Regions from separate parts of the Mus musculus genome. Here regions 1, 2, 3, 4, 6 and 7 are each reported to be linked to region 5. The links are microRNA targets in miRTarBase. Many come from high-throughput screens and were not tested one by one. Region 5 holds a microRNA gene; each other region holds the end of a gene's coding sequence. Distances are from middle to middle.

Region 1 (4,065 bases), not on the chromosome of region 5:
AGAAAAGGCGCGCCTGGTGGAGAACTCACCCAGTGATTCTCGGGGCCGCTGTGCTTCCTCTTCAGGCCCCGATGACTAGGCCAAAACTGCTTAAATTCCCTAGAACAGTAAAGTCAGAAAGGTTTACTCAAGCCGAGCAGAAACACTCAACAAATCTATTCAATAGACAGGAATCTACCAGGGGCGAAAGGTTTTCTGGGAACTTCGCTGAGCACCAGTGTTTATAAGAAACAGAAATGAACTTCGAAAATAACTTGATTATATACAGCCTCGTTAGCCAGTCAGCTGTTACAGCTCATTTTCTGGCTAATTAGCTCCAGGGACTTTTGCAACAAGCCCAGTCAGGTTAGCTACTATCAATCTCTATGTTCACCCGGCTCGCTGGGCCCAGTGCAGCTGTCCAAATCCATGAGCTCCCATTAGTAACAGAAATAACATAATGCCAGTAAGAGCAAAATATTTATTTATATTACTCCTTTTGCGAGGCACCATTCCACTCCACACTGGTTCACACCGTGGACTGCTTGGTGAATTCCCCCGCCCCCCTCCCCCAACCCCAAATGCTAGAGTCCTGGCACAGAGGGCAAACAATTGTCCATGGATGGTTTTTTAGCTTCTACCCCAGAGCCCCGTCTGCGGGCAGTGATGTGTGTCGTGGTAGGGGGCTCTTACTCATTGCGTGGGACATGAAACCTGGGCAGATGGCCTGATGTGGTGGGAAGACAGCTTTCGTGTTTCTCTAGGGAGTTTGTTTCTTCTTGCCGCCGCCTAGTCGTTTACAGTAAAGGCGAGTCCTTGGAAAACACGTGTATCCGTTACTTTCCTGTTGCTGTGGCAAGATGCCAGAGCAACAACTTGAAGAAGAAAGCTTATTTTGCGTATGCGCCAGCGGCCACCACGAAAGGGAAGGGTTGGCTTGGCTTCAGGAGCCACACAGAAGTGCAGCGAGAGCAGGAGGCAGGGCAGGCTGTAAACCTTCAAAGCCTGCTCCCCAGGGATGGTCTTTCTCTCTCACCGCTGCATCTCCTACAGGCTCAGTAACCTCTGCAGACAGCACCACAAAGTGGGAACCAAGCGTTCAGACATGTGAGCCCATGAAGGTCTGTTTGCTGCTTAGCTTTCTGTCAACTTGATATAAGCTAGGGTCTTCTGGGAAAAGTGAACCTTAAATGGGAAAGTGCCTTCATCAGATTAACCTAGAGGCAAGTCTGTGAGGGCATTTTCTTGATTAATGATTGGTGTGGGAGGAGTCAGGAAGGCACAGGGGAGGAATAAAAGCAGAAAGGGCAGGATTAGAAGAGTGGAATGAGACACATGTTAGAAATGTAAAGTGGTATAAAGCACTTTGCCCCCATTTCTGCCCAATAGGGACAGAATGGCCATGACAGCAGTTTTAGTTCAGTTATTCATGAGGACATAATGGAGAGAAAGCTAGAGCAGGGTCAGAGGGAATGCTCAGTGCTCGGGCTGCTCTTGCAGAGGACCCAGGTTCAGTTCCCAGCACCCACATGGCAGCTCACTGCCATTTGTAACTTAAGTTCCGGGGAATCCATTTTTTTCTGGCCTCTGTGGGTACCAGGCAAGGTGTGGGGTAGTAATATTTATGCAGGCAACACTCAGACACAGAAAATATATTTTTTTAAGAAATAAGCAAGCCTTAGAGACATATCAGGGTGCAGGTGGTATGAATCTTAAAGTACATGGAGTTCCCTTTCTTATTATAAAAATGTGCTTTATTTAAAAAAAAAAAGAGTATATAATAAAACCACAGGACAACATTCTAGACATGGATTCTTAATATGGCATTGTGGAAAACATAAATATCTGTTTCTTTCCCCTTCTTATCGTCTCCTCTGTGCATTTATTTATTTATTTTTTAGCATGTTAACACTTATTTTACAGCTTGATTCTATATCCATAGTTTAAAACCAATTTGGATATTATAAAATGGTATAAAGCGAAAATAAAAATCCCCCTCTCTCTGTACTCTTCCCAACCAACCCTTTCTTTTAGGAAATGTCTTCACGTTCTGTCCTGTGCCTTTGGTCATGGAAAGCTTTCATTCCCGCATAATTAAAACTGGTTTCTTCTTGTTGATGGTGGTGCTCAATTCCTCCACTCGTCAGTAGCTATGCGAGCAATGTCAGTAGCTATGCAAGCAATGCGCTCACAACCGATGGGTGACGGCCAGTGTTTCAAGCCATAAACATTGTTGACAGTTTATTCAAATAAACACACCTATATCTTTATAGCCTTACATCCCTCCCTTTTTTGAAAGTCATATAAAACTTTCTTCTATTGAAATTAAGGTATAATTATATCACTGTCCCCTTTCTCCCTCCAGTCCCTCTCTGGGGGTTTCTCCTTATTCTTAACTCATGGGCCCTGAAGCCAGATATATTTTGATAAATACTTCAGTATTAAAAGTGGCTAATGGACTATATGGACAATTGGTTAAGTTGGAAGGGAAGGAATTGGAGCTTAATAAACCAGCTGGTTCCCCTAAGGTATGTGCAAGTTAATGAACCATAAAGCCATGTAAAACTCATTTCAAAGGCTACGGTCAAGTGGAGTTAACCTAGATTTCTTGATAGACTTGTTACGGTTTGGATGTAAAATGTCCCCTGCAGGTTTGTGTGTCAAAGACTCTGTGTCCAGTGCAATGTTCCAAGGTGTGACTGTTCAAAATGAGAATCGGACAAGTCAATAGAAACTGCCTAGTTTGTTTCAACTTCTTTTTCTCCTAGTTCTGCTAGGACTATTCAGCCTCAAACGACATCAATTTAAAAAAATTAATGTGTCTCTAACAAAATACCTTTTTCTTTCTGAACCTGTGGTTAAAGAGGTAGAAGCGAGGGAGGCAGTCTTTCTTCTCATGTCCATATGGGATATTTGTCATGCTGATATTTCTAAGATCTAGTTAAAGATACAAATTCTTGCCGGGCGGTGGTGGCGCACGCCTTTAATCCCAGCACTTGGGAGGCAGAGACAGGCAGATTTCTGAGTTTGAGGCCAGCCTGGTCTACAGAGTGAGTTCCAGGACAGCCAGGGCTATACAGAGAAACCCTGTCTTGAAAAACCAAAAAACAAACAAACAAAAAAACAAACAAACAAAAAAAAAAAAACCAAAAAACCAAAAAAACCAAGAGGAGAAACAACACAGGGAGGAGACAGTCGAGCCTCCCCAAACACTTTGCCCTTCATAATTGAATATAAAAGTAAGTGAATTCGACTTTTATCTTGGATAAAGACAGAAGCAAGCCAGTGCACCTGAGCGTGCCACCCACGGATTCCCAGTGATTTATGAGCCTTTTATCCACTAGGGTGCACAAACAAGCAACTCCAAAGATATTTCATAATACTGAAATTCATGATCTTCCTGACTTAGGCTCTCGAGTGTGGGATTAAAAGCTTAGCATTTCTCTACATTTCTTTTTTGTTCTGGTCTTTTGATAAGATCCAACTGGGTAAGCTGGGCTGGCCTGGAAGTCACCACAAATCTCAGGTAGGCTTTGCACTAATGAAATCCTCTTGTTCTGCTTCCATTGTGCCAGGATTGCGGGTGTGAGCCTAACCCACCAGGCCTGGTTTCTCTGGTCCTTCACAGCTTAGCATCTTTCACAAGTCTTAAAGATGCAGCTGGCATACAAAGGAGTATGGAGCTGGGTCTCCTCAAAGCTCTTCCCTCTCAGGCCTCCTCCGGTGGCACTGGCAGATGGATGTGCCATCATCCGGCTGGGGAACAAGCTCCATTCCATCACGAATCATGGGCTTGCTGGCCTGGCGCTCGGCATATTTCTGAAATATGTTCGGAAGGAACAGAAGGTTTAGTTCATGCTTCATTCTAGTCTAACCTCCCCCACACCTCCACCTCCAACCATGGCGCTTCAAACCCAAACCAAAGATCTGGCTCATTTTAATTTCATTCATATATATATATTCAAGACAGGGTTTCTCTCTGTAGCCCTGGCTGCCCTGGAACTCACTCTGTAGACCAGGCTGGCCTCGAACTCAGAAATCTGCCTGTCTCTGCCTCCCTCATAGTTGTATTTTAACTTTATTTAC
Region 2 (4,065 bases), 61 Mb from region 5:
AGTTGCCCTTAGGTGGGACCTCATATTTGCTTTGGCCACATTGATCTAGCAGTCTGTGAGGGTTTTGTCCACCCTAGCCACTTGGGTTCAGTTCTGCTTCCATTTTCAGCTCACCATGAGGACCTTTATAGAATGCCAACCGACCATGTGTCTCCATTCTCTACCTCAGGGTGGACCTGACCACAGCTACACCAAGGAGAAGATCAAGATTGTAGAGGGAATCCGCCTCCTGGCTGGGGATGACGCTGAATGGGGTGACCTCAAGCAACTGCGCAGCTCCAGGGGGGGCCTTCTACGGGATCACGTATGCATGAAGACAGACACAGTGTCCATCCAGGCCAGCTCTGGCTCCCTAGATGACACGGAGACAGAGCAGCTGCTTCAGGAAGAGCAGTCTGAGTGTAGCAGTGTTCACACTGCAGCCACTCCGGAGAGACGGGGCTCTCTGCCAGACACAGGCTGGAAACACGAACGCAAGCTCTCCTCAGAAAGCCAGGTCTAAGTGCTGCCCACATTCTCTTCCCTGCCTGCCTGTTCATTCTCCTCTGTGGACTTCTGATCCTTGTGCTCACATAACAACGCGGGCCCTTTCCCATGCACGCATCTTCCTCCTCCCACCCCAAAGTGCTCCCGAGCCCCCATAGAACCTGTTACTCATCTGAGTCCAAAACTACCTGGGGACAAGAAGTGAGGGCACATCTCAAGAATTTAGACCTGGATTTTACCATGAACTTCACCTCTTGCACTCTATCCTGGGCCCCCTGAAGCTGGGCTCAGTGTGATTCCTTGTCAGCACAGAGCTCCGTCTCCCTTTGCCCTGGCATCCTATGTGCCTGCCCCACAGCACCGATGCAATTCATGATATAAGACTCTGGTCTTCCCCATCACAGCTGGCATGATGGCCTCCCTGTGAACTGGCCTACCAGGGGCTGGGACTGGAGGTCACAGGTTAAAAGGTAATGGACAGAGGTTGAGAGAAGGAAGAAGCAGCCCAGCTGGTCTGGGTGCTTGGGAAACCTCCAGCCTCAAGTGTTGGTAATTATGAAAAACCTTGGGGGGCGGGGATTCGAGCCCTGGAATCATGTCCATTGCTGGCAGTGGACATTCTCCTCATCCAGAAGTCACTGCTTTGTCAGTTGTGATACAGGTGAAGTGTGGGAATGGCTTAGGCTCTTCTTCCTCCTGCTGGAATGTCTGGGGCCATTTCTACCTTGGATAACTGGATAGCTCCTGCCATGGCAACTCACTAATAGGAATTCCCTCCTGGTGCTGTGATGGGCCGTACTTTTCTTAAGCCTTTAGCTATGCTGTGAGCTTGAGTGAACATTGGGTGGGCCTTGGAGAGCAGACTTGTAGAACGTTTAAGAAGCTCTGCAAAGAAAGCATAGCATCCTACCCGAGCTTCACCTATTCTACTCTTCTCTCTTCCATTCTGTGGGATTCTAAGGGAAACAATTCTGTCACAGCCTTTCAAAGACTGGCTCAACATTTTCCTAAATGGTCAGAAAGAGCAACTAGAGAGACACAAGACACCCAGGGGCTCAGGAGGAGAATTGTGAGGTTGAACCTCTTGAGTTCATTCTCAAGTGCTCAGGGATCCAAGTTCATGGACACAGCCTGTGGCTCTCGGGTGGTAAAGGTCATGTGCCAACTCTTCTCAGCCCCTGTCCACACTAAAGTGCCAGCATTAGCTTCATGCTCCTTTAGGCCAAGGGCTTCTCTCAGGGGAGCTGAGATTTTTTTTTTTTTTTTTTTTTTTTTTTTTTTGTGCTGCCCTAGAATCTCATCCCAGTTTTTCTACTTCTGAGAGAGGGGAGTCTAGCCTTGCTTTCTCTAACCGGTCCTGTGTCACCTCAATCGCTAATGTCCAATGATGAGGAGGGTCAGTGAAGATGTAAAGTGGTAAGCAAGGAGTGGAGAGGTGGTGAGAACCAGTCCAGAGCAAGTTCAGGCACTTCTCCATAGAAACCGAAGCACAGGAGAGATTGGCAGGTGCTGAGAATGGAGGAGAGGACTTTTAGGGGAAGTTTCCTGACATAAAACATCTTTCATGGTTTATTGCTATTCAGAGATCAGCAGCCAGGCATCGCATGAACAAACAAGATCAAATCTTTTCTGGTCAGTTATTACGAGTAAGAGACAGATGTCAAACCATTAGTCTTGTTGTCATTAGCTAGGCCCAGATATATGTCTGCACACAGAGCCAGAGCAGGCCAATGGCCTTTTCCAGTAAACCAATTGAGAAAAGTACAGTGCCACTTCTAAGAGGAAAGATGGACATTTCACACAGAATGAGGCAGCACTTGAGCCTTTAAATCCATAGTTGGGGAGGAGGGGGGGGGGGGGAAACAGAAGCGTGGTGTCCTCCTGAGTGGAAAGGGGCAAGGATCTTTTTGCACTTGGGCTGTTCAGAATGTAGAAAGGACGAATTTGAGGAAATATCTATTTGAGCACTGATTTACTCTGTAAAAAGGGCAAAAATCTCTCTGTCCTAAACTAATGGAAGCGATTTTCCCATGCTCATGTGTAATGATTTTAACATTACTCACTGGAGAGATTGGACTTTCTGGAGTTATTTAACCACTATGTTCAGTATTTTAGGGCTTTATGATAATTTAATATAAATTTAGCTTTCTTAATTATTTTGGCTGGCTTGGAGTCATGACTACTCTTGCACCTGCACTATCTGGAAGACCCCATTCTGTGGAAAACCCACTTGGGGACATCACCTCTAATGTCTTCAGAGATGTGTGATCCACGGAGGGAAATAAGGGGTGTAAGGTTTGTGTCGGAGTTTCAACTCATCCTGAGAACATGGTGAGAGAGTTGACTGATATGTCATCCTGAGAACATGATGAGAGAGTTGACTGATATGTCAGCCTGAGAACATGGTGAGAGAGTTGACTGATATGTCAGCCTGATTTCCTTTAGAGGACGGATGACAGAGAGGTTCACCTTGGCTGCAGCTCATTGGGTTGATAGAAGCTGCCTGAGGTCCTGTCAGGACAGGACCACAATCATGATCGTTAGAGATGTCTCCAGGTTCCAAAGCCAGTGTCAGGGCATATATACCATGAATCCTGTTTTCATTCATTGAGGACTCCCGTGTCACAGAACTCAACTTTGCCTTGCAATGATGGTAACCAGCAAAAGTGTCCAATGTGATATGAAAAATCCTGGAACGGGAATTGGATTCTATCTCCAGCACCACACACATTCGGAGCCCTTTTTTTTTTTTTTTTTTTTTAAGTTACATTCTGCCAGGATGTGGTGGTACACACCGTTAGTCCCAGCAAAGGCAGGAGGATCTCTGTGAGTTCAAGACCAGTCTGGCCTACAGTGCTAGTTCCAGGACAGACAAGGCTACAAGGAAGAAACAGAGTCTCCAAAAACAAAAACAAAAACCTACATTCTCCTAATGTGTTCACTGAATCTTGAGGCAGGAATAAGATGCTAAGGAGCCCTTCTCAGGTTCTCTGGGTATTATTCCAGTGAAAAGTTGGAAATGTTCTAGCCCGAATACTATGCTGCTTGTAGAGTTTAGTTTCAAGTTTCTCAATGGTTGATTTTTCTAAATCCTAAACTGTTGCTAGAATTATGTCCCCTCTCAAAGTACCACCTAAACAATGCCTGGTCTCACAGTGTCTGGAGTCTAGCAACTGTGCCCTCACCACCCTCTCTTTCCCCCAAAAGAATAAGATAAAAAAAAATGAAAAAGAAAAAAAGAAAAAGACTTGGATTTGATTGGTAAGTGATCTGGTGTGCCAAAAACAAAACTCAACAGACTAGTTCAAGTTCAACTAAACCCTTTCTTCCCCAACATTATTTATTTGTTTGTTTGTTTGTTTATTATATGTAAGTACATTGTAGCTGTCTTCAGACACCCCAGAAGAGGGCATCAGATCTCATTACGGATGGTTGTGAGCCATCATGTGGTTGCTGGGATTTGAACTCAAGACCTTCAGAAGAGCAGTCGGCGCTCTTAACCTCTGAGCCATCTCTCCAGCCCCCCCCCCACACACACACACACATTCTTTAAAAAAAAAAAAAAAATCTCATTTACAA
Region 3 (4,057 bases), not on the chromosome of region 5:
AAAATGTTCCCTTGCCAAGCAGCTGTGACGTTAGGGGTTAGGGAGGGCAGAGAGAGAGAGAGACGTGCCATATGCCAGTCTGTGGGGGCACCTAGGCCACACCCTGCTGTGTCACCAGTGTAGCAGCTTTTGGTACAGAAACAAACAAACAAAAAAAGACAAAACGCAAACAGCGCTGGGCCATGGTAGCATGTAGGCCATCACCCCAGAAATTCAGGAAGCTGAGGCAAGAGGACTGGGAGTTCAAGGCCAGCCTGGGCAGCTTTGTGAGTCCCATCTCAAGTTTAAAAAATCAAAATGGCTGGGAGTACAGCCAGTGGTAGAGCACTGGCCTAGTAGCTCACCTTGCAGGACAGACCCAAACAAACAAAACCCAAAACAAAACAATCTAGAGCCCAACAAGCAGGTGGGTGCAAGACCCACCCTGAGTTCATGAGAACTCCCAAGATGAAAGGGGGCATTAAATGGGGAGCAGGACTGAAGCAGCAGGCAGAAGGCCTCTGTTCTCTGCCCCGCCCACCCGGCCCAGCAAGCCAAAGTCCCTGTCAGAGGGCCTGCTCTGAAGGGAAGTGGTGTCTGCAGTGGCAATCTTTGGAACAGCTTGACTTATCCTTTTTAATATTGCTTCTAAGCAGAGGTATTCTGGGAGACCGGAGGTGAGGATATAGGTGGCCGCTCTGTTCCCCCTGACCTAGCCTCGGGGTACCCTGTGGCCATTTGTGGTGACTTTGCCTCTCCTGGCCAGGATGTGATGTTTCCCACACATGAGGGACCTTTCACTAGAGCTGAGACGCCACCCCTTTCTGACTTATTCTAAGCAGGCACTGTGCAGTTCGGATGGGGAGGGAGGGACTGGGCGAGCAATGTCACGTGGGTGTTATGAAATTTGAGGATTTTGAGGAAGAACAGGAACAATCCACCCGTTTCTCTCTATGGGGAAGGGTTTCTTCTTACATTTCACTGACCTTTAACCCCCACCTTACACTGTTTTACCACTGCCCAAGGGGTTCCTTTGTCTATAAAGGCTTCACATCTGTTCCTGAATTGTTCCCCCAACCCAGGGCTTAGTGGGGTGCTCCAGGGTTGCCAGCCATGGGCCACACAGTGCGTGGACATGGCCCTCCTGGCTCAGAGCTTGTGGGAGCACGCTCTGGTGCCAGCTTCTGCCCAGCAGATGACCAAACCCACTCCGCAGAGCAGCAGCACTAGTCTAGCCTCCTTGTAGCTCAGGCTGTCCAACCAGGCCGTCAGGCCGTGTACCGGGACAGTGTGTGTTCTCTCTCTCTCTCCATACCCTTCCACGCCCCTGTTAATGGTGAAGATCTGCCTCAGAGCACGGAGCCCACGTTTCAGGAACTGGGACAGCAACCTGCTCATGACCATCCACAATCTTAATCTGCCTTGGAGGGTGACCATGGACAGCCCTGGAGTAAAGGGTGATGGAGGGAAAGATCAGCAGCTGGCACCAACGTCCCTTGTCACCTCAGCCCACTACGCAACTCAGATCTCCACCCCATTCGTTCTTCCCTAACCCCAGGCTCACACCAGGCACACAGAGAGAAGTTCATGCCAGGTACCAAGGGAAGATGTGAGACAGAGCCAGCCCTCTGCCCCCTCTGAGGGGAAACCCCTCCCCCAGCCACCATCACACCAGCCCCACTTCTCTGAACCTTTCCAGGCAATAGGCAGGAGACCTCCAAAACACTGGCTTGAAGCCGAGTACTACAGAAATGACTGGCTGGGGAGCTTGGGAGATAGCTCAAGAGAGGAGGCAGGTGCTCCGCCCTGGTCCCTGATGTGTGGGGGGCACTGGTGGCTTCAATGGCAGCAGCCATACATCGGAGCTTGGACTTATCCATCCCGGTCATCTGCTCTCCTGTGACCACAGCCTCCAGGTCTGGAGTCCCTTCCAGCAAAGGCAGCTTGTCCAGCCTGCTCTCTGCCCACAGGGCCCTTGGGCCTCTTCTGACCGGCACCAGGCAGAGAAGGCGGCTGACTGGTGGGTGGTTTGATACCAACGACAGGGCCTGGGGCTCTGTCCAAGTTGTTGCCAGCTGCTTACCGACCACCCTCTAGGAGGACCAACACTGAGTTTCTGGCTGCTTTGGAGTTTCCTGTCGCACAGCCCCCATGACTGCTTCTATAAAATCAACTCTCATTCTCACAGAGAGAAACATTTGATGGCTCCTGCTCACGAGACTTGGTGTGGTGTATGTTAAAGTGCTGTTGGTCACTTGTCCGGCATGCAAAGGGACCTTCCCCGGGCGTCCAAGTCCTCAGCTGACACCCACGCTTTGGTTCTTGCTGCACTGTACTCAAACTTGGCACCGACTGCTGTCCGGAGAGGTAGTTTCCTTTCCAGAGGATAACGGTCAGGTAGAAAAGAGGGTTTCCATTTTCAAACTGGACAGGGTTCTCAGTTAACTGGAATGGGGGTGGGGTGGGTGGGGGAGGAGACGGTGTGAGCAGATCACCGCCCAGATCCTCTGCTGTCTTCCTGCCGCATACCACCCACCATCCATCATCCTCCTGCTGAGCAAGTGGCTGACCGACTTCCCTTGCAGCTGGCTCAGGCTTCCCTGGAGATCCGTTTGTAGCTTGCAGCTCTCGACTCATTCAGTGCTGTGGGCACTGGCCCTGGGCTGACTTTCAACCCAGAGCTCTTTGATCCATCAATGTGGGAGCCGCCCATCCTTCTTGGAGTTATCAGGGAGAGCGGCATGTTCACCAGGGCCTGGTGTGGTCGAGCGCAGGGCCTGGTGTTGCTTGGCTGCCTACAAAAGGGAACCTCAGAGACACATGGTCTGCTCTGTGTGTCTCAGGTTGGAGATGAGCCCAGATTCCATATTTAGCTGAAAGAAATATTTAGGGTCCAAAGCCAAAGCAGATCTCCCTGACCCCAGTTAATGCCACAGTCTCTGTCACTTTTGGGGAGAGGGCTCTGTATCCTAGCCTGTGGCTGGGAAGTTCTTGCCATTCTGTTTTCTGGTCTATTCCCGGATCAGTCACAAATAGGAAATCCGTGGACCCACTCTCAGAGAGAGGAGCCTGGGTTTGCACTGTGCTTCTGTCCAGGCCTGGGGCTCAGGCTCTTGTTGTGGGCGCTGCCTGGGATCCATTCCTGAGGAGCTGGGCTAGATAGACCTTCTCCCCCAAGAACTGGGGAGAGGCGATGGCATGAGAGAGGGGTAAATAAACACACAGAACCCCCAGATTCATACAATCAAGTTGTCTGTACGTGTTTATGTGTTTGTTTCAAACCATGGGAGGACAGGAGATAAAAAGGAAACTGTCCGAGTGCGGCGGCCACCCACATGAGGGCTGCAGGCTGTGATGGGCTTTTCCACTCGGTCCTTGAATGTAGCTGCTGGCCACTAGGGCTCCTGTGGCGTGAGTTTCACTCCACCTTCCTGCAGGCGACACTTCACTCGCCGGTCCCCGGGCCCTGAGGGCCGGTGGCTGCCATAGCTGTGGGCTGTGTGGTGGCTGTCCCACCGGGTTCCTCTACCCGGGACCTCTTGACCTCGGGCTCTCCGCTAGAAGAGGCAGATGTGGTAGTGGAGGCGGCTGGGGTTGGCGCTGCATTAGCGGCTACTGAGACGGCTGCTGCTGGCTCCTCAGGCCCCACCTCACACACCCGGGTGATGACCACTGGAGTGGATGAACTTGCCTGGGCTGCCAGGAGCTGCAGGGGGCTGCTGAGGGCTGGCGGTAGGAAGAAGAGGTTACTTAAGGGTCATCACTATTTGACCACTAACTGACCCGAGCAGCAAAGCCAGAGCCACAGTTCTTTCTCTGCCCGTTCCTCACACAGACTCCTTCTCCCCGCCGACAGCAAGTTTGAGTCAGACACCCAACACCCGACTCCACTCAGGGCCCTTTTCTTTGCTGCCTCTGTCACCCTGAGGATGCCCCTCCCTCCCCTCTTTGCCTCTGTGATGATGAATCTTTACATCACCTTAGTGGGATTTAAAATTGCAATGGAAACAAACCTCTGGGCCTGTCTGTGAGGGGCTTCTAGATCAGGGTCACGAAGAGGGAAGACCTATCCTGCCTG
Region 4 (4,065 bases), not on the chromosome of region 5:
CCATGTTGCTGGAAGTCCTTATGTCTGCCCTATAGCCTTCATGCGGCTGGCTCTGTAGTCCTCTTGACTCAGGGAAGGCATCTCCCCCATGCACTTTTTCCTCTAGATCTTAGCCTCCTCGGTCTCCTACCTCTCTTTTCTAGGGAGCTGAATCTGAGGCTTCGAGATGAGAGAGATGCCTGTGAGACCAAGCTGCTGGGCAGTAGCCACAGGAAGGCTCTAGCTATTGCCCACAAGCCCGGACCCATCTACTGCTGCTGCTGCTGTGGCTGGGCTCGGCCCCCCAGACGAGGCTCTGGCCATCTTCCTAGTGCCCGATGACCAGCCCCGAGTGACTCACTTCCCTATCCAGAGGACTGCCCCTAGGAGGGACTGGTCTTGGTGGCGGATACTTGCTAAGTGTGTGGCTCTACCCAGAAGGCATCCCATGCCTGAAGGAGCTAACCTCAGAGTAGTCAAGGCCTTCAGTCCTTCAGTCTTTATCCTGTCTTCCTTTTTTTTGGGGGGGGGGGTTTCGAGACAGGGTTTCTCTGTGTAGCCCTGGCTGTCCTGGAACTCATTCTGTAGACCAGGCTGTCCTCGAACTCAGAAATCCGCCTGCCTCTGCCTCCCGAGTGCTGGGATTAAAGGCGCGTGTGCCACCACGCCCGGCTATCCTGTCTTCCTTAATCTTTGTCTGAAGGACCAATAAAGGCCATTGTATACTGTGTACTCCTTGGCTCTTGTGTGTTTGGGAGCCACGGTGCATTTGTGGTTCATGCTTGGTATCCATGGCACAAGGTGACATGGAGGGGTTTACAGGTGCACATTAACCCCTTCGTTCCTGCAGCTGGGGGTTCCTGTGTGCTTGTGTGTGTTCTGTGATTCTGGATATTCACCAAGCCCTCACCCATTCCTCCCAGCTGAAGCTCCCAGGACTCAGGTTTCAACAGGTGTCCGCTCCCACGCTAGTCCACACGTGGAAGGTCCCGCTCCTCACCTCCGTGGTCAGCTAGCTTTCTGGTCCAGGTCCTTTATCCATCATCCTTTGGCACAGTTCCTAGCCAGACCATATGCCACCCACACTGGGCACCTCTCGCAGGGCCCTCATGTCTCTATGGAATCTTCTGGCACCCTCCACACTGTATCTGGAGTTTCCCCTCTAGCATTTCTTCAGCCGCTAGAACCTGCAGCTTTAGAGTGGTTCTCCCGGCTTAGACTAGAGAAACTGGTCTTGACCTCAGTTCTGGACCTCTGGTGGGCTAGGTGCCACCTTCCCCACCTCTTCGCTCCCCACCTGGGTTCTACCTCTGGTCTAGCTCCTCTGTCTCTGGGCGAGTTGGGGCTTTTGATGACAAACGGGGCACCTTTAAACTAACTTTACAGACCCACAGGTCTCTCTGGCGCGCGCCTTAGCACCAAACCAGTTAGGACTTGCCTGCCCAGGCCGGCCGTGGGCGGGGCTGCGCCCGGGGCGGGGTCGCGCGCAGGGCGTGTCCTCGCAGGCCCCGGGCCGAGCGTTCTCTGTACTCCGAGTGATCGCTCCTACCGTGGCTGCCGGGGCTGGTATTTCAAAGCGTGGTTGGTGAGTGCTCCGTGAAGCATAGCCGGAGGGTGTGGGGAGCAGTGTCCTGAGTTCCTCGCTCACTGGTGTTCCTAGTCTCCAAGCTGGCCTCAGGGACGCCCAGGAGGCAGAGCCTGAGGTAGGACAGGGTTGCAGACTCCTTTCCGGAAGATCGACGCCGGGGCCGGGCAGTTAGAAGGCCGGAGGGGGAGGGGTGAGGGAGAGAGCTTCTGTGGTTCTTGAGCAGGCCTGACGGTCTCTTTCGTGCAGAAACCCAGAAATTTAAAAGTCTGACCACCCTATTCATTGTCCCTGGACACCGGTTCCCTCCCCTGAGACCGCAGGTCCGCCCACTGGCACGGGGCGGGGGAGGGCGGCAGGGGCGGTGGTGACTTCATCTCTGTGACGCGGGGATTCCTCGCCCAGCCCACTTCAGTGTTTAATCGGGTCGGTGGGGCGGGTGCCGAAGGCCCAGGACAGGTCCAGGAGCTAAGTGTAGGGCGGTTGTGTCCAGGCCGCAGGAGCTATTTCTGGCTGGTCCAGGCTCTCACACCGGCACTTTCACAGAGAATTTACATCCAGTCTGCTGATTGTCTCTTGGCTTAGGTTGATGGATGTGTCTAAAAGCCCATAGATTCTGGGCTTTTAGAGCCTGGCCCCGGGGGTTTGCATTGTGGCCAGGCTTCTTTATGTCATTGCCCGCTTTCAGTGAGGCAGCATGCATTTTTGGGTCCCATCTCCAAATAGAGCTCTGAAATCTCTCCCACTTTCCAAAATGGACAGTCGATGCATCCTCCTTCAGTTTGCGGTCGCTGCTGTTTGGTGGGGGAGGGACTGTGATGGATGGGACTGGAAGGTGGGGCACTTGGAGAAGGCATTTGGTCCCTCCCTAGATCAGGCAGGTCAGCCATGTTCTTTGGCCTGCCGCCGTCCAGTAGAAAACAGCAGGCCTGCCTGTTATGCTTCCTTGCAGATCTGGTGGCTCTGAGAACCATTTTGACCACTGCTTAAGCTTCTGTAGTTGGAGTGGCAAGATCCCACCTGCTAGGTGAAGGGCAGAGAGTGACTTTTGACCTGTACCTGCTGGTCCTGACTTGAGAGGTGAGAGCTGGTGCCTGGGCAGAGCCTCAAGGCCCCTGGCTAACAGTTCTGCTTAGGTGTGTGTCTGGGAATCTGACCTGCGTCAGCCGAGGTCTGTACACTGTCCTCAGTCAGACAATAGTGTGTCTAGGGCAGGGTGTGACTAGGGGACTCCTGGAGGAGTGGCACATTCACATATGTGGAACTGGGACCTCCCCCTACAGTCGGGAGGAGAGCTGGTTGTACAGGCTCCACCTACCGGCATCTTATTGTCTCTGCCCTGGCTGGTAGTAGAGTCAGCTCAGAGTCCTCACAAACTGTCCCTTAGGGTGGCCTGAGCTCTCTGCCATATCTGGGAACGGGTATGAGTGGTAAGTACCTAGCAGCCTGATTGTGGGACTCAGGGAATGCTTGGGGGTGCCGATCAACAGGAATGTACCCTGAAGGTCTGCTGGTGCTTCCCCCCCTGTTGCCAGCAGGAGTGAGTCAGCAGATGTTGGGGGGTCCTCCATGATAACCCACCATGTGTCTGGCTGTGAGGAGGTTAGTTCAGGAAGTGACTCATAAGGTTCCTGGGAATGCTCCTCTGAGGGCAGATAGCTGGCTGAGCTCCAAACTGCAATCATCCGGGGACTGCTGGATCTCCTCCTGTCTCCGTTGGTAGATAGCTTTCTTCCTACTTGGAGGCCTGGTGCTTCAGGCCATCTGACCTCCTCCCCGTTCCTCTAGGCCCAGGATGGGTGAATTCAATGAGAAGAAGGCAACATGTGGCACAGTCTGCCTCAAGTACCTGCTCTTTACCTACAACTGCTGCTTCTGGGTGAGAAGAGCTAATTTCTCCCTGCATCCCTAGTCCCCATGTTGGAGGCCTGGCCTGGGGGGCTCAGTCCCAGCTTCCAGACCCAGGCCAGATGTGGTGACCAGTATATACTTTCTGCAGCTGGCCGGCCTGGCTGTCATGGCAGTGGGCATCTGGACACTGGCCCTCAAGAGTGACTACATTAGTCTGCTGGCCTCAAGCACTTACCTAGCCACGGCCTACATCTTAGTGGTGGCTGGTGTTGTTGTCATGGTGACTGGAGTCCTGGGCTGCTGTGCCACTTTCAAGGAGCGACGGAACCTGTTACGCTTGGTCAGTGGGGCATGGTGGCACACGGTGGGGCTAGGGGTGCCTTGCATGGATTTCTCAGGGGGCCTCTGGTACTGGTTCTGGGGACTTAACTGGTTGAGTGTATTACTGCAGGCTGTCCCTGTTGGGGCAGACACGAGCTTCAGAACTATGAAGGAGCTAGGCAGCCCCAGAGTGTAGCTCCTAACTGAATTCCTCTTGCTTGGCCTCCTGGGTTGGGGGCTTGGCTTTGTGGTACTCTGGCACTAGCAACCCCCCACTTACTGGGTCCCTGCTCCCTAGTACTTCATCCTGCTCCTCATCATCTTCCTCC
Region 5 (4,065 bases):
ACCTCAGTTTCCCTAGATGTAATTTCTTAATTGTCAAAGTCCCTCCCAGTGGGGTACCTGCATGGATCCCCAGAGCAGCAGGCAGCCTTGCCTTGCCTTTGACCTCTGCCCCGTCGCAATGGTTCCCAGAATCCGGGGCCAAGGAGTCACTAGGCCAGTCACACCCTTCACGTGGTCCCGACCCTTGGGTGCCTCTCCTGACTGATCCCACTGACCCCTTCCTCCTAAGCTAGGAACTAGCTAGCCACACAACAGCCGCAGCAGCAGCAGGCTCGCAGCGGTAGTTAGATGACAAAGTTCACCAAACCACTCGGCCTAGCAGAGCTGGGTTAGTTAAACGTCTACTACGGGCCCAGAGCTCCGGCTCCGTGTGGCCTGGTGCCCTACAACCCTCCTGTTGTCGCTATATGCTGAACGCCACCCGGGCACGAAGCAGTTAACGCCCTTGCAGCGAGCTGGCAGAGCCGGCTGCCCGGCTTATTAGTCAGCCGGCGGGGAGGGGGCGGAGGGAAGGAGGGAGGAGGGAGGGAGGGGTTCAGTGGAGAGCCGCAGAAAGCTATTCTCAGGGGCTCCCGTGTGTGGGGAGGGCGGCTCAGCGGGAACTGCCGCTTCCCAGAAAGTTGATTATTTTTAACCCAGGAAGAAGAAAGGAAGGAGGCCCAGGGAGGACTCAGAGAAGACGAGGAAAAGAGAGGAGAGGAGAGAAAAAGAGGAGAGGAGAGGCGAGAACAAGGAGAGGAGAGGAGAGAGAGGAGAGGAGAGGAGAGGAGAGGAGAGGAGAGGAGAGGAGAGGAGAGGAGAGGAGAGGAGAGGAGAGGAGAGGAGAGGAGAGGAGAGGGATAGATATTTGGAGGGAAAGGACAGGCAGGGCAGGGAGGAAGGAAGATGAGGCTTAGATATCCCACAGCAAGGGTTGGGGAACGCTCTGGGCCAATTCTGGAGGAGGAATAGATGTGGGGTACCCACCCCTGCTGGACCTACCATCCTCCTGTCCTTGTGGACTGGCCTAGTTGCATGGGGGCTTGAGGGAGGAACTGGGCACAAGGCAGTTCCAGCTCCTGGGAGTGCTCTCAGGTCAGTGGGCAGCACAATGGCACAGCCTTGTTCTGGCCTTCACGGTGACTCCTGGGAGTCTGCATGGAGGCCCTGGGAAAGAGGACAAAGAGGTTGCCTTGGTGCTTGGGCCGAGAGGGATTCACTTACGGGGGGGGGGGGGGGGGGGGTGTGGGCCCAAGTCACTTCTCCTACCTCTAGGTGGTGTCAGGCTGGGAAGGCACCTCAGAAGCAGGAGCTGGGTTCACAGAGTGAGACAAGCCAGAGACAGCTGGCCCACAGGGCTCGCAGGCGTGGCGAGCCATAAAAAATGCATTGGGTGCCCCCAAGAAGGCTGAAATATCAGGGACTTAGGCAGACTGGCTGTGTGTGTGATCTCAGCAGGGGTCAGAAGTGTCCTAGAGAAGGGTGCATGAGGATCTACTGGGATGACTAACTCAACTAATGCGAAGCCAGGGAAGACAGGACTGGCAGTCTTCAGGCCTCAGATCCAAGTGGTCTATCAATTCCTGCCTCTGGAAGGTTTGGCAGGCTTTTATGGAGCAGAGAGAACAGGTCTCCAAAGCTCCCAGAGGCTAGGAACTGGGGGCTGAACTCAAGCTTGGTTTGTGCCATGGTGGAAGACCAGCCTAGTGCAGATGCGGGAGGAATCAGAAAGCTGTCTGGGCTGGCTATGTGACAGGGAGGGCTGGTGCTGTTCAGGAGGCAGGGGACAACTCACAGGAGCAGGCTGGCAGCTTCGCATATTTGAGGGTCTGGTAGAGATGGCTCAGAGCGCCAGGTGAAAGGAAGACCCAGTGGGGAGGGCTGAGGGAGCTGCAGTGGCATTGCAGAATATGCTAGAATCCTGGTGGACCGGCTGATCCCGGTGGGTCTGCAGTATAGGCAGGGGAATCAGGTTTGTTATGGTAATGGTGCAGAGGGAGAGAGGAGGGTTCTGTTCCTATAATTGAGTACTGGGAGACACAGCAGACAAGACAGTGTGTGGCCAGCAGGGCTGAGCCTCGGGCAGGCCAGGCCGATGCCTGGAGCCTGGGAAGGTCCTGGGGACAGATCAAGAGGCCTCGGGTGTGATGTAAGGGCAGGTATGCATGTTTCTTGCTCTGAGGGCCTTGTCTCTAATTGAGAAGGATTGAGAGGGACCCAGCTACCCCTACCCAGTCACTCTGGAGCCCTGACCAGCTTCAGGCCTTTCCCCAGCAGTAGGTTGGGACTGCTCATTACCTCCACAGGATGTAGAAGGTGCCCACCCACCAAGTCACTCCCCACCCGGCCCCCAACCCCAACTGCTGGCAAGAGGAGAGCAGAGTTGAGCACACAGTAGGTCCTTTCCATGAGCCTAAGCTAGTGGGTAGAGTTAGAGCTACAGACTGGGCTGAGAGCAGAGCCCCTGCCCAGATGCCCTGGAACAGGGAGATAAGGGGAACAGCTGGTGGCTTGCAACTGAGTTCAGGGACAGCGTGTCTCAGTTTCTCTGTCTGAGCATCTGCTGATCCTGAGCTGTGTTTTTAGCTGCAGAAACCCAGGGCCTTGAGGCTCCACCCCTACACTCTGAGCACCACTGCTGCCAACGCCAAGGGGGTCTCGGGAATGGCAACTGAGAGGAGGGGGAAGGTTCTAGGACACATATGGAATCCAAAGTGCTCATCTTCCAGCTCTGAAGGGCCTGCCACGGCTAATAACAGTCTTCCAGCCAGGCAGTGATGGCACACACCTTTAATCCCAGCACTCAAGAGGCAGAGGCAGGAGGGTCTCTATGAGTTCAAGGTCAGCCTGGTTTACAGAGTTAGTTCCAAGACAGCCAGGGCTGCACAGAGAAACCCTGTCCTGGCGGGGGAGGGTGGGCTTCCCATCAAAGCTATGCTGGCCCTGCCCTCTCACCTCCTCCCAAGGGTGAGAAGAATAAGGCCCAGATCTAAAGGACAGACCTGAAGCCACCCCACGGCTGACTGTGTTCTCTGAGCCCCCACCCCTAACCCTATCTACAAAGTGCCTGGCTCCTTGGAAGCAGAGGAGGGTAGGTGTCAGGCTGTCATTCCGTGACCCAAGGCTCCCCATCAGTATGACAAGGGTGTAGGCTAGAGCCCTCTAAAGTGGACAAGACCCAGACTTCCCAGCATCCACTCTGAGAAGCCTAGCTCAGAAGAGTTGGCCAGGGCCCCAGAGCTGCACCTCCTGCTCTGTCCCCATCAGGCATCTCTGAGCTGTGAGGAGCTGTCCCCTCAACAGTGCCTGTGGAACACAAAGAGGGGGGGAGCCCAAGCAGAGAAAGAGCCGCGGGCTGCAGGCGGGCAGGCAGGCTCAGAGCGGCTCTGCTCCGCTTTCTTCTTCCTCCCTCTCTCTTTGTTAAGCTCCTTTTCAGCTGCACAGGCAGAGCCTGGGTGTTCCGAGCTGACAATAATTGCTGCGTCTAGACAGTGTCTGGTAGGAGGCCTCCTTCTCTGTGCCTGCCGGCCTCCCCGAGGCTCCCAGGCCTGGCCCACAGCCCCTGCCCGGCACCCTCAGAGGGTTCCCACACCCCTGCCTCTCTGTGGATGCCATGCCCACCCCCCACCCCCCAGTCTTTCTGCCTCCTAATTCAGTTGGGAGTACAGCTCTGTCCTCCTACCCTTGGGTCCAAAGGCACCCCAGTCTGTTCTATTTTGTGGCCTAAAGTTCAGAAACAAGACACTGTCCAAGAAGCACTGGTAATGCCAGAGGCCTCTGAAGGAGCCAGAGCTCAGCGTAAGGCAGGTGGCTGTGCTGCATAGGCCAGGGAAGCTGCCTTGCTGGGTGAGCTAAGCCTGGACCCTCAGGGTTCAATTCTAAAATTTGATCTAGGTTCTTCTAGAGTTTTCCAACCCAAAGCCCAACAAAAAGACACAGGAATCAGTGTAAGGAAGACCAAGCATTTCCCAGACCACTTTAGGCTGATGGGGATCCGTGTTTTCAGGAGGCTGGGGAAGGAGAACAAGAAACAAACATTAGGAGTTCTGAGATCTGTGCTCAACTCAGCCCTGAAGCTCTGGAAAA
Region 6 (4,065 bases), 100 Mb from region 5:
GTGAGCAGGCCTCACCTACCAGAGGCTCTTTCTGATCTCTGGTCATTTGTGAGTTAAGTCACTGGGGACAAGTTTCAGGGCTCAGGAGGTTTTCCTCCTGTAAACTAAGGCATCACCAGTTGTATACTTCAAGAATCACTAGAGCACTACAAATTCCATTTTCTGATTCAAGGAATTGTTTTATGACCGGGGTTACAAAAGAACAGTCTATTCTGAGAATTAATTCACCTAATGCTTTGATCTTTATCATTATCTTAAAGTAGAATAAAATACAATAAGAATGAATATTCCAGGTAGTTTTAAAATGGATTTTCTTAAAAAGTTAAGTCAGACAGTCCTTAATAAACATGAAATTACATTATTCTTATTGTGTGTCTGTTTTCACCATAGGATATATGATTGGATGCCTGAACAGCCAAATATATTCCAAGTGGAGCAGTTGGAGCGCCTGAAGCAAGAATTGCCAGAGCTTAAGAACTGTTTGTGTCCCACTGTTAGCCACTTCATCCCTTCTTCTTTCTGTGTGGAGCCTGATATCCACGTGGATGCCAACGGCATTGATAGTGTGGAGAACGCTTAGTTCACAGTGCACAGAGGACATTTAGGGGCACACCGCTGCCCTCATGTTTAGTTTTCACCATCGAGCACTGCTGTTGCCTCTTAGGTTTTTCAGTCCAATGAAGCAATAATGAAGTATTTTACTATTTCATTACAGGTCCCGCAAGAATATCAAGTATGCTATTTGTCACTTGTCCAGGTATAATTACCAATCAGTCTCTGTACAATAAGAAAATATACTGTTAAACATTTCAGTGAGATATCTAAGCCTATAATGGTGAATCTTCATTAAAAGTTGGAAATTAACGATATAAATATCTCATACTTAAAGTTCAGGCTTTTCATTTGATTAAGTCTTAAATCTTCAGTGCTTGAGAAAAATGATTGCATAATTATACCTGACCATGGAAAAACTAAGTACCTCAATGCATGCATTTGCACTGGTGGCTCCAGCTGCACAGGTCTGTGTCATCCATGTACATAGGTATCTTTACATGGTTGATAGGAACACGCACCATTTTCCTTTAGTATAAACCTCAGATTGCTGCCATTTCTCACCTGACCCAAGCCAGCCTGCAGATGAACCTCAAAACTTGTCTCATAAACCATTCAAAGATATTAAAGTTCCAGAATGCTGCAGGGTAACTTAATGTATAAAGTATTTGTAAGAAGTATATATTGCATATATAGTAGTGTAGATCAGAAGGTATCAATTTGACTCAATGCATGCTTTAGGTTTTAAGCATGAGATTGTACATGTTTACTGTTAAGTCCTTGCATCTGGTGCTAGGTGAGGGAGATGTTAAGGACATAAAATATTTTGTCGCCTAAAAAACAAAGTCTGTTTTAGACACTTTGAGTATGCTTATTTAGTGTCTCACTACCTAGTAAACATAAGTGTCTCACTACCTAGTAAACATAATTGCTGTGTGTTGCATAGTAGTTAAATTCCCATGCAGAAAAATAAATGTCCTGAATTCTCAAATTGGTATTCTTTATTGTTTAATATATATCATGTATGTAATTTATTTAGGAATGTAGATCTTACTGTATATAAATGCATGCTTTTAGGATTATACTAAGATTTCTTTAGAAGCAGATTGTACTGATAAAACTGTAACTTCAGAATGAATGTTAAATAAAATGACAGATTTATTTTTTTCCTCATCTTAAAATGAAATTTCAAGAAGGTATTTTGTAGAATGGTTTTATAATGGTATTCTGTCTTACAAATAGAAATTTTATTCTGCTTGTATGGGCCGACTCACCACACTTTCTCAGTGCTCCTGCTGAGGCAGTTTGTGCATGTATTGACAGAAGTTAAAAACATAAGACTTGAGATGACAAGTTGTACTTTTTTTTTTCTTTCAATTTTTGACACAACCTGTGTAGCCTTGGCTGTCCTGGAACTCACTGTGTAAGCCAGCTGGCTTTGAACTCTCAGATACATCTGCCTCTGCCTCCTAAGTGGTATTAAAGTCATGCGCCACCACCTTTGGCTTCCTGATTTGTTCTTAACAGTGCAACAATGGGGGTTTGGGTCAGTTCTTCACTGTGGGGAGATGGGGTCAGAAACCCTATGGTATTGTATTTGTAACATGATGTTTAGTGGAGCATAGTTTAGAAAATGGTCTTCTACAAGGGTATTTCTATATACTTTCCCATGTTGAATGAATCTTTAACATTTCCACATAATCAGGTACCTTCAGAAAATGTAATTGACTTTCTTCATAGACCTGTGTACCGTGTGGTGTGCTCCCTTTGCCTCTCTAGTTTTGTTCTGTGGCCATTCCCATGTATTTTCCCTCCTAGCTCCATTATTGTGTGTAGGACAGAAGAAAAGCACAAGGGTGCATCTTACAGAGGACTTGGTAGGGACTGGGCCCAAGCAGTTTAGTTTGCTGAGAAGAGCTAGGCTAGTGTACCATAGAGCCTGACCACTGTCTTCTCCATTACTAGTTGATTAGACTATGTGAGCTAACCTAGTGCCTCCATGTCACTAGCTGTCACCTTTCCTCTACTCAGCCATGCTGTGACTAGCTCTGCACCACTCCATCTGTGCCTATATGTCCTTTGCTTGGAACCTTCCCCATCAACTGGCCCACACTCTTGCTGCCTCATCTAACTATCCAGTGCCAACACTTTTGAATATTTTACTACTCCTTATTGCATTTACCAGTGATCTTACAGAGCCTTGGGACATTCCAGAGACACAGTTGGCATTCATCTTACCAACTTTACTTTTATTTCCACAGTAAATGAAATGTATTTATTTATTATGAAAGCACATTTTGAAGTGGCTTACATTATGACCACTGGGATAGCTTATTGATGTCAGTTATTACATGCAGATGTTTAATGTTAAATTATTTTACACTTTCTGGAAAGTTCTATGATTCTCTGGCATTTGCTCCCTATACTAGCTCTGCTCAGTATGGAGGCAAGGCATACAGCTCCCTCATGGAGGTGGTGGTAAGGATTGGTCTGACCTCTTGTCTGTGAACACAGAGCTCATTGGACTTGTGTGTGGTGCAGGGCAACTTGCCAGTCATGCACGATGACAGATCATTTCCCTTGTGCCTTTTTCTCTGTAGCTGTCACTGCATGTGTCATCTACAGTGTAATGGGTTTGGTTACATTAGCTTGATGAAAGAGCACTTAAAAGTTCATTCCTACATCTTAACAGCTACTCTGAAGATTTTTTTCATAAACGATTTTTGTGAATTTTATATTATGTACCCCAATCCCACTTATCCCCCTGACCTTATCTGCCCTCCGCCCTTGCAACACCCCCAAAAGAAAATAAGTCTCTCGGAAGCTGCAGTAGTATGTCACTTAGTATATCCTTTTGTCCATCTTTATTTGCAAATGCTCACAGCAGTAAATCATTGATCTGGTTCGAGGCCTCTGGCTTCTGCTACACTATCAATACTGGATCCTCACCTGCACTCCTCAGCTATCCTGTGTCATGAAGGTCCTGCAACTTTAGATCTACAGAACCAGCCCCTTTATGTGCTCTAGCTGTTCATAGATGGAATAGATGTTGGGATGGCCAGCTCAAAGCCCTGGATCTGGGCTTGGATGGTAGCTGAGTTGCTCAGCCCGCCAGCTCCTGCACCCCACACCACCAGGGCAAGCTCTCCAGCACTGACTGCCCCAGCTAGCTCATCCAGTGCTGCGGCTGGCAAGGGGCCAGTGCCAGCTCTTACTTCTCATGCCTTCGGGGCTGGCTCTACTGTGCTGCCTAAGGGAAGTGCTGGGCCCACTTCCATATGCTGCAGCGGCTGAGGCATGGAGCCAGTTCTGTGTAGCCCCTAGACATTAACAGGCTCCCAGGTGTCAAAAGAGTCCAAATCTAACACGTGGGGGGTGGGGGGTAGGGGAGGAAGGAGGGTCTTATTGAGCCTCAGGGATTTTCTAAGTGACTGGTCATAACTAAAGTGGGTTTTTCCTTCTAGCGTCACAACTGTCCTGTATATTTTATTAGCTACTGCAGTCCCCGGCAGC
Region 7 (4,065 bases), not on the chromosome of region 5:
CCAGGGGAGGGGCAGGGGAAGGGGAGGCAGGAAGGAGGATCATAAAACCTGAGGGCAGTTTCCGGGAGCTGGTACTATATAGTAGGTGACAAGACAGCCTGGGCTAGAGACACTTCCTCAAAAATCATTTTGTCTGTGTCCTATGTAAATAAAAGTTTAGAGACAACATAAAAATAGGTCAAGTTGAGCCAGGTGTTCACAGGCCTGTAAACCCAAATCTGCTGCAGCTGTGGAGGCAGAAAGATCCTACAGGCAATGTCTCGAGAAAGAGAATGTAGCTGTGGTCATGATACCTCACTTCTATAATCCTGTGTAGGCCTGGCTGGCCTTGAACTCACAGAGCTCTGCCTGCCTCTGCCTTCCGAGTGCTGGGATTAAAGGCATGCACCACTACAACTAGCTACGATTTACTTCTTTAATGTCTACAAGTATTTGCTGCATGGATGTGGGTACAGCATGTGTGTGCTGTGACTGCAGAGGCCAAAAGAGGGCATCAGATCCTCCCTGTAATTGGAATTACAGATAGTTGTGAGCTGCCATGTGGGTGCCAGGAATTGAACCAGGGTCCTCGTCAAGAGGACTTGGTGCTTAAAAGCAGTGTTTAAGCCACTTCCTCGGAACCATCTCAAGAATTAAAAGCAAACCTTTATAAATACTTTGACTAAATGTATGTGCATCATGCATGGCCTGGTGCCAGAAGCGGGCACCAGAACCCCAAGAACTACAGTTGGACAGATGGTTATGGCTGCCAGGTAAAGTGCTGGTAACTGAGCCAAGGTCCTCTGCAAAAGGAGCAAGTGTTGTTTGTGGCTGAATGTTCTCTTCTGCCTCACCCCTCGTTTCTAGGGTGCTGGGATTAAAGGCCTGCACCACCAGCACCCAGTTTTTATTTATTTATTTATTTATTTAAGGTTTTTTTTTTTTTTTCGAGACAGGGTTTCTCTGTGTAGCCCTGGCTGTCCTGGAACTCACTCTGTAGACCAGGCTGGCCTTGAACTCAGAAATCCGCCTGCCTCTGCCTCCCGAGTGCTGGGATTCAAGGCATGCACCATCATGCCCGGCTCAGTTTTTAAAGTCCAGACTTCGAGGTAGTGTTTTGTTGCCTACTAGGGTTCACTTTCATCTTAAGAACCACAATTCAGGCTGGGTTATCCAGACATATTCTGGGACTACTTTCTAAAAAGCTGCCCCCTACAAAGCACCATTGATGTTTATTAAAGGGTATAGATTAGGTCAGACAAAATAGAACACTTTAATATTTTGTTGTTGTTGCTTCTGTTTGCTGTTGTTTTGAGACAGGTCTTCTCTGTGTTTCCCAGGCTGTCCTCAAACTCAGAGATCTGCATGCCCCTGCCTCCCAAGAGCTGGGATTAAAGGTGTGTGCCACAGCCACAGCTACCACCACCAGGATGTTAGAACTCATCTTTAATCCTAGCACTCGACAGGTTGACACAGCAGGGTTATACATTCAAGGTCAGTCTGAGCTATAAAGAATGTCAAGGCCTATCTGGGTAATTTAGTGAGATCCTATCTATAAAAGGGGAAAAGAGGGTCTGGGATGCATCTCAGTGGAAGAGTTTACATGTATGAGGCCCTGATTTCTATCTCAATCATCACACACATTAAAAAAATAAATAAATAAAAAACTAAGACAAGTTATAGCCAAGTGTGACGTCACACACCTGTAATCTCAGCACTGGGAAAGTTTAAGGGCAGCCTGGGCCACATAGAAAGACCTTATATCAGAAAAAAACAACAGTAAAAAAACCAAACCAAACCAAAAAACCGTGCTGTCTATTCACAAGCCAAGCCCGGGTAAGATATACATCAAGGCTGGAGTTCAGAAATGACCTGATTATCCCAGGCCACTTTCATTTATTTTAGAGGTGAAGAAACTGGAGTCCAGAAAGAGTAGCAGCTTGGGCCAGATAGAGATATTGGTGGCACACTTAGTTTCCTGCCTATTGGTCCTGCATTTTGCCTAACCTCCTATAGCAGCTTACCTGGTTCAATCCTGTGTAATATCCCAAAGGACAGGAAACAGAGACATATCTGTAGGTATCTAAAACTCACCTATGTTAGGAATAGTGCTTTTGTTTGTTTGTTTGTTTTGGACAGGGTCTCACTATATAGTCCTGACTAGCCTGAAACTCACAGAGTTCCCAGGTACTGAAATTAAAGGTTTGTGTTAGCCACCACACCTGGCTTCATCCTCTCTATGAAATATTGCTAGAGACAAACCCCAGGGCTTTGGGTATGCTAAGGCAGAACTCTACCTTTGAGCTACATCCCCAGTCCCTAGCCCCCATTTGACAGAAGAAAAAAACTGAGTACACAACCAGGTGTGGTGTCCTAGCACTCAGGAGGAAGAAACCAGGCTATCTCTGAGTTCAAGGCCAACCTGGTCTACTTAAGGAGTTCTAAGCCAGCTAGGACAACATAGGTGAGGCTCTGGATCAAAAACAAACCAAAACAACTGAGGCCCCATATTTGTCCACGGTCACAAAGGTAACAAAGGTCACAAAGGTCAGTGGAGCTGGGTCTCAGGTCAGAACAGTGCAGCCTCAGAGTCCACACTCTAAATCGTGTTACAGCCCAGAAAGAACAGCCTGTGGGGGAGGGGTGGCTTCTTTGCAGCAACTTGACTTTTCAGAGTATCATCACTCAAACCTCTCTACTTGTATCTGTGTTCAAGGGCACCTGTGCCACCTGACTGCCTAGGTCATAGTCAGTGAGCCCGCCTGCCCACTCTATCAACACCACAGCCTTTAGGCCTGTTTGCTTTTCAAAGGATAACCAGCCACTCCCGTTTATAAACTCCAATTTGATTTTAATTAAATAAATTAAATTCCAGGCCATCACACAGCAATGGACATCATCATCTCCCAACATACAGAGGTGCAACCTTGCTCTATGATCGTACTGTCTTTAAAACTCCTAAAGCTGGCTCTCTAGGGAAGGCTTCCTCCCAGCTTCCTGGCTCCCTCCTTCCAACTGAGCCACTGCTCATGGAGAAGGCATCAAGTACAAAATGGTAATAAAGGGGAAGGAGAGACAAGGAGCGATGTGGGAGGTAGGGAGGTGGGGAGTGCCTGCCCCCCATCCCGGGCCCTAGCCCGGCTTCCTGTGATCTGCCAATGTCTTCTGAAGGCAGACATTGGTGCTGGTCTAAGAGAGGACTCCCAAGGGAGGGGTAGAAACCCGTCCTGGGAATTGCCTTACCCTCCTGGGACAGAAAAGGGTCACCTGGGAGAGATGCCCTCTATCATCTGTTTGCCAAGGGTTCTAGACCACACATATAAATAGAAACGAGAATAAATAAGGGAGAAGGACCTGCTGATGAGAGAGTACTCTGGGCTCCCCTCTGGCGGCAGTACCAGCAGAGGCTTCTGATGAGTGTCCACACGCCCAAGACAGAGCTTGCCCCTGACTCTCAGCTGCCAAACTCTCCTCTACGCTCACGCAACAACTGTTGCCTCCCAGATGCCTCCCATGTCAGACACCCTTCCCGCTCACCCCACAGCCCAGTGTGCTGGGGCTCCCTATAACCCGAGGGCTTTCCTGGCCCCAGCAGTGGGGATCCAGGAAGGGGTACAGAAGGGGATGTGGGGGACAGACTAAGAGAACTCTTGATCTCTCCTAGCTCGGGGGCTTTCAGAGCTGGGGGCTAGGGTTGCCATTGGCCTTGGGTTTGGATTTGAAGGAAAAACGCTTGATAAGGCGACGGGAAAAGCTGCCAGCCTTCTTCCGGACGCTAGGTGTGGCCGTCGTGTTGGACAGGTCATCGTGTGACTGGCTCAGACCAGCTTCCTTCTGTCGGGGCCTCCGGCGGAAGATGAGCTTTGTGCCACTGCGCAGGAAACTCACTGTAGGGAAGAAGGGAAACTGAGGTGGACGGAGGGGCACAGGTCTGGGATGAGGGTGGAGAAAAGACTTAGGAAGTTAATACAGAAGATGACGACTGTACTCTGTCTCTTCCCTAATGCCTGCCTTTCTCAGGAAAGGCGGTGGAAGCGCACGCGAGCTTCACCCATCCTGAGGAAGGAACACAGTCCTAGGGGGAGG

The links. Region 5 holds the annotated microRNA mmu-miR-3089-5p (UGAGUUCAGGGACAGCGUGUCU, at 2,498-2,519, shown strand). A microRNA usually pairs through its seed, bases 2 to 8, with sites in the 3' UTR of a target mRNA and lowers its output. Matches are read on the target gene's strand: a 7mer-m8 pairs with bases 2 to 8, a 7mer-A1 pairs with bases 2 to 7 and ends in A, and an 8mer does both.
Region 1: miRTarBase lists Poglut3 as a target of mmu-miR-3089-5p. Seed matches in the 3' UTR shown: 7mer-A1 at 3,031-3,037.
Region 2: miRTarBase lists Lrp4 as a target of mmu-miR-3089-5p. The part of its 3' UTR that is shown has no 7-base or 8-base seed match.
Region 3: miRTarBase lists Foxk1 as a target of mmu-miR-3089-5p. Seed matches in the 3' UTR shown: 8mer at 426-433 and 7mer-m8 at 240-246.
Region 4: miRTarBase lists Cracr2b as a target of mmu-miR-3089-5p. Seed matches in the 3' UTR shown: 7mer-A1 at 553-559 and 7mer-A1 at 582-588.
Region 6: miRTarBase lists Gpcpd1 as a target of mmu-miR-3089-5p. Seed matches in the 3' UTR shown: 7mer-A1 at 1,965-1,971 and 7mer-m8 at 1,992-1,998.
Region 7: the mRNA of C2cd2l is a reported target of mmu-miR-3089-5p. Seed matches in the 3' UTR shown: 8mer at 2,386-2,393 and 7mer-m8 at 1,837-1,843.

Annotation. Positions count from the first base shown.
Region 1 is chr9:53,399,420-53,403,484 of GRCm38, reverse strand. Poglut3 (protein O-glucosyltransferase 3) reads right to left here. Exons shown (of 8, transcript NM_212445.2): 8 at 1,618-3,798. The coding sequence ends at 3,673. Mir130c (microRNA 130c) reads left to right here and starts at 2,599; the gene lies at 2,599-2,680. It also overlaps a transcript of 4930550C14Rik not described here.
Region 2 is chr2:91,511,260-91,515,324 of GRCm38, forward strand. Lrp4 (low density lipoprotein receptor-related protein 4) reads left to right here. Exons shown (of 38, transcript NM_172668.3): 38 at 170-2,642. The coding sequence ends at 502. Among named protein-coding and RNA genes, the nearest start is that of Ckap5, 13 kb to the right of the region's middle.
Region 3 is chr5:142,456,124-142,460,180 of GRCm38, reverse strand. It overlaps Foxk1 (forkhead box K1), which reads right to left. Exons shown (of 9, transcript NM_199068.2): 9 at 1-3,705. The coding sequence ends at 3,425. Among named protein-coding and RNA genes, the nearest start is that of Ap5z1, 5.8 kb to the left of the region's middle.
Region 4 is chr7:141,465,903-141,469,967 of GRCm38, forward strand. Cracr2b (calcium release activated channel regulator 2B) reads left to right here. Exons shown (of 10, transcript NM_001025103.2): 10 at 144-700. The coding sequence ends at 321. It overlaps Cd151 (CD151 antigen), which reads left to right and starts at 1,460. Exons shown (of 8, transcript NM_001111049.1): 1 at 1,460-1,564; 2 at 2,517-2,644; 3 at 3,353-3,443; 4 at 3,564-3,755; 5 at 4,035-4,065. The coding sequence starts at 3,360. It overlaps Gm10575 (predicted gene 10575), which reads right to left and starts at 1,869. Exons shown (of 2, transcript NR_152219.1): 1 at 980-1,869.
Region 5 is chr2:30,718,725-30,722,789 of GRCm38, forward strand. It overlaps Mir3089 (microRNA 3089), which reads left to right and starts at 2,486; the gene lies at 2,486-2,569. It overlaps Gm14488 (a long non-coding RNA gene), which reads right to left and starts at 2,463. Exons shown (of 4, transcript XR_866106.3): 1 at 1,249-2,463; 2 at 982-1,146. It overlaps Gm39782 (a long non-coding RNA gene), which reads right to left. Exons shown (of 3, transcript XR_866107.2): 3 at 2,839-3,989.
Region 6 is chr2:132,527,068-132,531,132 of GRCm38, reverse strand. It overlaps Gpcpd1 (glycerophosphocholine phosphodiesterase 1), which reads left to right. Exons shown (of 20, transcript NM_028802.3): 20 at 391-2,051. The coding sequence ends at 580. Among named protein-coding and RNA genes, the nearest start is that of 1700026D11Rik, 38 kb to the right of the region's middle.
Region 7 is chr9:44,307,402-44,311,466 of GRCm38, forward strand. It overlaps C2cd2l (C2 calcium-dependent domain containing 2-like), which reads right to left. Exons shown (of 14, transcript NM_027909.2): 14 at 1,836-3,866. The coding sequence ends at 3,655. Among named protein-coding and RNA genes, the nearest start is that of Hinfp, 3.8 kb to the left of the region's middle.